Sus scrofa: one gene and its partner. The protein of the gene in region 2 purifies or fractionates together with the protein of the main gene of each other region. This does not show direct contact. Links are inferred from orthologs where the notes say so. Each region holds a gene or a part of one and is shown on either strand. Other genes may lie near its edges. The genes, in order: BCAR3 and BCAR1.

What was found.
Region 1: the proteins of BCAR1 (region 2) and BCAR3 purify together in Homo sapiens (co-immunoprecipitation; 4 studies listed by BioGRID and IntAct, counting the BioPlex papers as one, with this or other methods). This does not show direct contact. The link is inferred for Sus scrofa from reciprocal best matches to the Homo sapiens genes BCAR1 and BCAR3.

The regions. Positions count from the first base shown.
Region 1 is NC_010446.5:123,643,050-123,646,852, reverse strand, and holds part of BCAR3 (breast cancer anti-estrogen resistance protein 3), read right to left. Parts: intron 2,416-3,803; exon of another isoform or gene 1,926-2,415; intron 1,114-1,925; coding exon 1,010-1,113; intron 1-1,009. UniProt on the Homo sapiens protein: Acts as an adapter protein downstream of several growth factor receptors to promote cell proliferation, migration, and redistribution of actin fibers.
Region 2 is NC_010448.4:12,390,003-12,393,805, reverse strand, and holds part of BCAR1 (breast cancer anti-estrogen resistance protein 1), read right to left. Parts: intron 1,165-3,803; coding exon 553-1,164; intron 1-552. UniProt on the Homo sapiens protein: Docking protein which plays a central coordinating role for tyrosine kinase-based signaling related to cell adhesion. Implicated in induction of cell migration and cell branching. Involved in the BCAR3-mediated inhibition of TGFB signaling.

The DNA of each region.
Region 1 (3,803 bases), on a different chromosome or scaffold from region 2:
TCAGAAAAGGCTCAGCTGCGTGGAGAACGCGAAAAGGACAAAGCCAGGGTGGCGGCTGCTGGTCCTCAATTTGGGCCCTGGGGTTTCAACGTCCACCCTCAAGAGAGAAGTGAGCAGGACGGCTGCAGGCCGGTCTGGAGCAGGTCAAAGGCTCGGGGCCCCGCCCGACCTCTGGGGGAGATCTCAGCCCCAGTGACGACTGACAGCTGGGCTGCAATGTCACTTTATGGTCTCAGAAGGTTCGTACCGTCAGAACAGGGAAATAGATGAGCTTGGAGGGCAGTGAGTAACCTAACCTGGCCCAGGAAGCAGCCTCTTTAACCACACAGCATGGGGGAGGGGGCTGAGTCACCCTCAGAGCCAGGGGGGATCCTGAGCTGGCGACACTGGGGAAGGAGGCGAAGACCCCGAGAAGAGGCACACTCAGGTGGTTTACGAAGGGCAGCAGGAAGATCTCGGCTCGCAAGGAAGGCCGGCTACCAAAACTACAAGGACCGACCCGGCGGCCTATTAACCGGCCCCTACCTCCTCCGTGTCCCCACATCCCGACCGTCTCATGTGACAGGAGAACAGAGGGGACGAGGGCCTGTCTGGAAAGCTGCTCCACCAGGAGCCCTGGGACCCGGCCAGCTGCCCTCTGCCTGGGGAGGGGACGAAGGGAGGCTGGCCTGTCACGAGCAGCCCCGGGGAGCAACCGGGCTCAGAGTCAGGAAACCCGAGTTCCGGTCCCGGCTTACAAGAAAGACGACTCGAGACAAGCCCCTTACTATCCCTGCCTCAGTTTCCTCAGCCACAGGGACGATCACGCCACCTTAGGGCGCGTCATGTGGCTTAAAAGCTAGCACGTTACATGCGCGCATCTGGATATAGTTCTACAAACCCCTCACCCTACAGCCTGCAGGTGCGGAGGCTCTGTCACTCCACATCAGCCGGCCAGATGGGGCAGGGGACGGCCTGAAGGCCACCGGGGACACCGCCGCCCTCCTCCCCCGCACCCCCCGACACCTACCAATCGGCAGGTAACTTTCCGACTGGTGGGCTTTGAGGGCCAAGGCTCTGCGGTCCTGCATGTGATCCAGGCAGGCAGGCTGGCTCCCGCTCTTCTCCTTATTTCTGAAGCAAAAGACAAGTGGGGCAGGAACATGTCATTAAACCATAAAGCCTTTAGGCAACGTCACGGAAAGTTTGAAAAAAAGAAAAAAGGTTACTCAGAACGAGAGCGCTCGGGCTGCCCTGAGAGGACCGGGATGGCTGCCGGGGAGGAAATCACTGATGGGACCATCGGGCTGGGGGCTCCCTCCCCAGGTCCCCACGGCCACCCAGTTCGGTCCTCGGCTCCCTCCTCTGAGTCCTCCTGTCCCACCGAGCAGAGCGGGGGTAAAAGCTTCATGATACACGCAGGAGACTCTGATGAACCGGAATGTGCACTTTTAACAACGCCTAAAATTACTCGCAGACCCGGGAGGGCCGACTGGGGTACCTAACAGCGTTTTGAACCGGACCTCACAGTGTCACAATTCAGGAGGACGCTGTGGGACAGTTTGCATTTCAGCACAAATCTCCGCCTCTCCCAATTAATTCCCAGCATCGCCTGGGGACGGGGGGCGGGGTGTCATACCCATCCAGGGGGACCCTGCTGGGGACCCCAGAGCCAGCCTCCTCCTGCTGAGTCAGGAAAAGGGACGGGGGGGTCACCAGGCGGCATCCAGGAGGCACAGTGCCCGGGAGAGACAGACGGTGATGACACAACCTGCCTGCACTGCTCTGGCACCTGCCGACTCCCACTGGGAATTTCTCTCATTAGCACCAAACAACAGAAGCTCCCTTTTGGTAAAAGAGAAAGCACGGCGCCCGCCGAGGGGTCGAGACCGGTCATTGGCCCTCCCACAAGCTCCTGTTACAGAAATCCCGACGTTCTTTCCTACCTTTGCAAGCGCCAAAGGCAAAAACCCAAACCCAAACCCCCGAACGCCCAGCAGCAGAGAAATTCCAGCGACACTCAGAGATAAGGCGGGGCAGAGGGCAAATTCCAAACGGCAGTGGCTTCTGCGAAGTGGGGCTTCCGCAGGGACCAGCGCCCGTGGTCAGACGCCGCTGCCCAGCTCATTGGCCTGGAATGCAGCCTGGCCGAGCGCACCGCCGCCGGGCGGGCCAGCAGCAGGCCTGACGTCAGGGAAGGTGCAGGCGGGCGGGCGGAGGGCAGGGCTCCGGGTCAGGTGCCCGTCCCCGTGGAGCCCACCTCACCCCCTCTTTTAGGTCCACTTGAAGCCTCTGCCAAGAGGTGACAAGGTTTAGGGAGCTCTGCTTGCAAAGGACAATCTGAGGGTGGCTCTCTTAGGCTTGTCTTGTGACTTAGAGAGCTCTGACTTTCTTTCCATTTCTTTCTTTTTTTTTTTTTTTTTTTTTTTTGTCTTTTTAGGGCCACACCCACGGCATAGGGAGGTTTCCATGCCAGGGGTCGAATCGGAGCTGCAGCTGCCGGCCTACACCACAGCCACAGCAACACAGGATCCGAGCTGCGTCTGCAACCTAGCCCACAGTCCACGGCAACAGTGGATCCTTAACCCACTGAGCGAGGCCAAGGATCGAGCCCGCAACCTCATGGTCCCTAGTCGGGTTCATTAACCGCTGAGCCACGACGGGAACTCCTTTCTTTCCATGTCTTATCCTTAAAAAAGTTGTATTTTAAGTCTGGGTCACTGAGGGTGGGTGGACCAGGAGGCCTTCCTTCCCAGCACTGTTCCTGGGGTGGGGAGGTGGGGCTCTGTGCTCCACCTTATCTCCCGGCTCACTGGTTCAGCAGCCAACCCCCCTCCCAAAAGCAACAGAAGAGAGGTCCCCTTAATACTTTCAGGGATCTCACTCTAACCTTCTCACTATGAAAGGGAGACTCTTTACATATCATTCTTGCCTCCCTCCCTGCAAGTGCCCCGAATCCTGTATTCTATTGCCTTCTAGAACCGGGCGTTCCCATGCGGCTCAGCAGAGACGAAGCCGACTAGTGTCCGAGAGGATTGGGTTTGATCCCTGGCCTCGCTCAGTGGGATGAGGCTCTGGCATTGCCGTGTGCTGTGGTGTAGGTCGCAGACATGGCTCAGATCTAGCATTGCTGTGGCTGTGGGGCAGGTTGGCAGTGACAGCTCCTATTCGACCCCTAGCCTAGGAACTTCCATATGCCTCAGGTGTGGCCCCAAAAAGCAAAAAAAAAAAAAAAAAAAAAAAAAAAAGTTATTAATAATAACTATTATTAGGATTACGAACACTCACCCAGCACTTCCTGTGTGCCCACACTGTTCTAAGCATTTTGCACACCTTAAACCATTTACCCTTCAAGCACCCAATTTTTGCAAAACTGAGGCCCAGAGAAGGTAAGTAGCTGGTCCAGGGTTGGCCAGGCCAGTGGTGGACCTGCCTCCAAGGCCGGGCGGCAGGTCCACAGCCGGATGCTGACTAACAGCCACCAGAGCTTCCTAGTGACACAGGACCATCATGACATTGCTCACAGAGTCCTGTGTTTTGTTCTGAATTTTTACAGTTGAGAAATGATAGTTTATGACATTTCCTCCTGCTTCAGAAAGAGGACCAGTGAGTGGAATAAAATACGTTGCATAATAAGCTCAGGTGCCGGCAGCTGGAGGAGGGGCCCTGCCCCCGGGGGCTGGGGCTGGGGCTGGTCTTGGCTCTACCACGCCTGCCTCTTGCGTGCGCCTTTCGGGCCGTGGGCTGACATGCATGCGGACTCGAGCTCCATGAGAGTCGGGTCCTGCAGGAACACGGCCCTGAGGGTGGGCGGTGGGGTTCAG
Region 2 (3,803 bases):
AATAAAATCAGACGCAAGGGAGGCTGCCCAGGCCAGGAGCAAGGAGGCTTGTCAGGGGAGGGCAACCAGGCTCCAGGGCTCTCCTTGGGCCACCAGGCAGGCCTGGGCCCTCAGGGACACTGGCTCTAGGCAACCACACCACTGGGCGCAGGGAGAGAGGGAAACAGAAGCAAAGCCTTAACATGGGCTCGAGTGCACAGCCCGGAGCACGGGGCTCCCTGCTGCTTTTGGGGCCACAGGGCTTCCACTGCCTGCCCTGGCCTCAGAGATGCAGCAGGACAAGCCTGACTACAGAGACCCGGAAGGGAGGAGACAGAGGGGGAAGAGGAGGCCTCCCTGGCGGGGCGGGGGTGGGGTGGGCACCCACGTCAGCAGACAAATGCACATGTTCCCCAGACACTCACCTCCCACCCCAGCCCCAGACCAAACACACAGCCGCTGCCGGAGCCCCGGAGAGCCCAAAGGTGCCTGGCTCTGCTCTGCTGCACCCAGGGACTGGGCCTGGATGAAACTGGCCAGGAAGGCTGCCTGGCCATGCCAGGGAGGACTTACCTTGGCTGGCGCCTTCGTCCCTTCCCAGCTGCGTGCGTCCATGGATGGGGGGACCTGGTAGATGTCATGCCCCATCCCAGCGGAAGGCGGCACCTGGTAGATGTCCTGGGCAGGGTTGCCAGGTCCCGGGGGCACCTGGTAAAGGTCTGGGGCCGGGCTGGGAAATGGGTGATGGGGCATCTGCTTTGAGAACGTGGATGTCTGCTTGGCCGGCGGGGACTGGAACTGCGAGCTGGGCCCGGGAGCTTGGTAGAGGCCTTGCTGAGTCTTGCTGGGGGTGGGCACCAGGTAGACGCTGTCGGGCTGGGGCTGGTAGGCGGCAGGCAGCATGGGCGTGTACTGGGCGGCCGGGGCGTGGAGGCTGGGCTGGGGCGGGGCCGAGCTGGCAGGCGGGCCAGGGCCTGGCCCCACGGGCTTCTTGTCATGCATGCCCACCAGAATCTTGAGGCGGTTCCCGGGCACGATGCCTTGGCGCCCATGCAGTGAGCAGAGCCACCAGCCGTCCAGGCCCTGCGTGTCTCGCTCCAGCACTGTCATGATGTCGCCTTTGCGGAAGGAGAGCTCATCCGGGGACTCAGCCACATTGTCGTAGAGGGCTTTGGCCAGCACGTTCTGCAGGGAGGGGACACAGGCAGGGCTCGTGAGGGCAGGAGGACTGTGCTGGGAGCCCCGCAGGACTGGAGAGGTACCTGCCTTGGCACCGAGAAAGGAACTGAGTAGGTTTTGGTGAGATCCCCATGCCTCTGCCCCCAGTGCCCCTGGCAGAAAGCCCAACTGGTCCAGGCATGTTTTCAAATGGATCTGGATAGTGCCTCAAAATCCTCGCAACGGCAGCCACCGGCACCGCTCCAGAACGGCCCTCAAAATACTCTAAACAACACTCCCAGAGGCACAGTACAAGCTAGACCGATGCTGGGGAGAAGAGCGATAATGACAGTAACGGCCACCTCCTTCTGGGAAGAAAACAGGATGCACACCCTCCCTGCACCGACACCACGGCCCTGCTGCCTCGCCAGTGGGACCATCCGAGAGGAAAAGCCCAGAGAGTGGGAAGGGACACACGGGGCACAGCGGCCACCATCTGCAGACCACATGTCATCTAGTGAAGATCCCAACAATCTAGAAGACTTGGCAGTGCTGAGAAAGGAACCTCACAGGAAAGACGTCACTTGATAACAAAAGCTACAAGTTATCCAAGAATTAATCAAGCAAAGACTGCACCAGAGCCCAGAGGAGAAAATGTACCAGTTGGCCCAAGCTTACTTAGTAAGTTACAACTGCAATAAAAATGCCAGCAGAATTTTTTTTTTTTTTTAAGAATTCGACCAAAGATAAAGCATCCTTTCTACAATTAAGCAGAGGAACAGAAGTCCGCAAATAAGGTCAATTGTGAAAATGAAATGCAAAGAGGCACTTCCTTGCCATCGTGAGGCCTGGCCACAACTCCAACCCGGGAGCAGGACAGGGACCAGCGGTGGGACTGGCTCCAGCAAGGGCCCTGCCCTGCAGGAACCACGCAGCAACGCGGAGGGCAGGACTGCAGCCCAGCGGGTACCAGGAAAACTTGTTTGCCACAGGAAGAAAAGTCAATCTGGACATCGCTCATGTTATAAACAAAGGGCAATTAAAGACCTAAATGTGAAAGGTACAACTTTAGAGCTGATAAAAGAAAAAATTGCTGGAGTTCTCTTGTGGTGCAGCAAGTTAGGGATCTGGCCTTGTCACCGCAGTGGCTTGTGTTGCTGATATGGCACAGGTTCCATCCCTGGCTCAGGGAACTTCCACATGCTGTGGGCATGGCCAAAAAAAAAGAAAAAAGAAAAAAAAAGAAAAAAAAATTTGTGGGAGAATATATCTGTGACCATGAGGGGGAAAAAAGATAATAACCCCAAATCAGAGCACAAAAGCACAGAACGTAAGGTAACAACAACAGAAACAGACAGACAGGGTCGACCTCATCAAAGGGAACGGCTCCAGCCGGATGGGGAAGAACAGAGAGCCGATGGGGTGACAGGCCGCCAAATGACAAGAGTGCTTCCCCTAGAATCTGGAGGTGCTCCAGCCACAAACAGGAGACCCACGGCCCAAAACACTCTGCATGTATGTTATGAGTATCTCCAGAACACTCTGTATATTTCACAGACACTTGTCCAAGGGTGGACTCCAGACACATGACACTGCATGGGTGCTCCTGGAAGAGGGACAGGAATGAGACAGGCATACAAAGGGAAGGGGAGTTCCCGTCGTGGCACAGTGGGAAGGAATCCAACTAGGAACCATCAGGTGGCGGGTTGGATCCCTGGCCCCCGCTCAGTGGGTTAAGGATCTGGCGTTGCTGGGAGCTGTGGTGTAGGTTGCAGACGCGGCTCGGATCTGGCGTGGCTGTGGCTGTGGCATAGCTAACAGGTCCAATTAGACCCCTAGCCTGGGAACCTCCATATGCCGCGGGTGCAGCCCTAAAAGGACAAAAGATAAAAAAAAAAAAAAGGGAATACATAGGGAAATACAGCAAAACGAGACGGCGGTTCCATACGGACCGAGGATGGCCACAGAAGGACAGCACCCCTTGCCCCAGCTCCACTCTTTACTCCTGTAACTGTCCTGGTAGTTCTCACTGCCACCCCAGAAAACTGCTATGGGGCACCGCTAATGGGCTCCGTTGTCAATAAACCCTCCTGGAACCGGGACACACGCTCCATGGAGAGAGGCCCTGTAGCCAAGCGGCCTGTGCAGGCCTCGGGGGAGGCTGTGGGGTCAGAGAGGAGGAACCAGCACTGGTAGACTCCCAGCCGGCAGGCCCAGAACCACACCGGCCACAGGGAACCAGGACGGGGAGGCCCTGTGTTTTCAGTCCACCACCCCTGCTGCTTACACAGGTGCAGGGCTCAGGCTGGGCCCAGAGATTCCCCGAGAGGCCCCCGCCGAGGTCGTTCCAGCAGAGGGCAGGAGCGAAGCAGGCATCTGGGAGAGAAGGCCAGGGCAGCTTTGGTCTCCGAGGGCAGCAGAGAACTCAGCAGGACTGGGCAGGAGCCCAGGCCTCACACATGGGGGAAGGACAGTGCCAGGACAGCTGGGCTCCAGCCCCTCCAGCCAGGCCTCAGCTCTGGTCACCCTCCTCTGAGTCTCCTGGGGACTGAGGATGCAGAGCCTGGTCTAGACCTGACTCAGAAATGGGACCTGGGCCCGCGTCTCAGCTCCTGGATTCCGTGTGGGGCACAGAGGACAGAGGGCGAGGCCTCATCCAAGCCCAG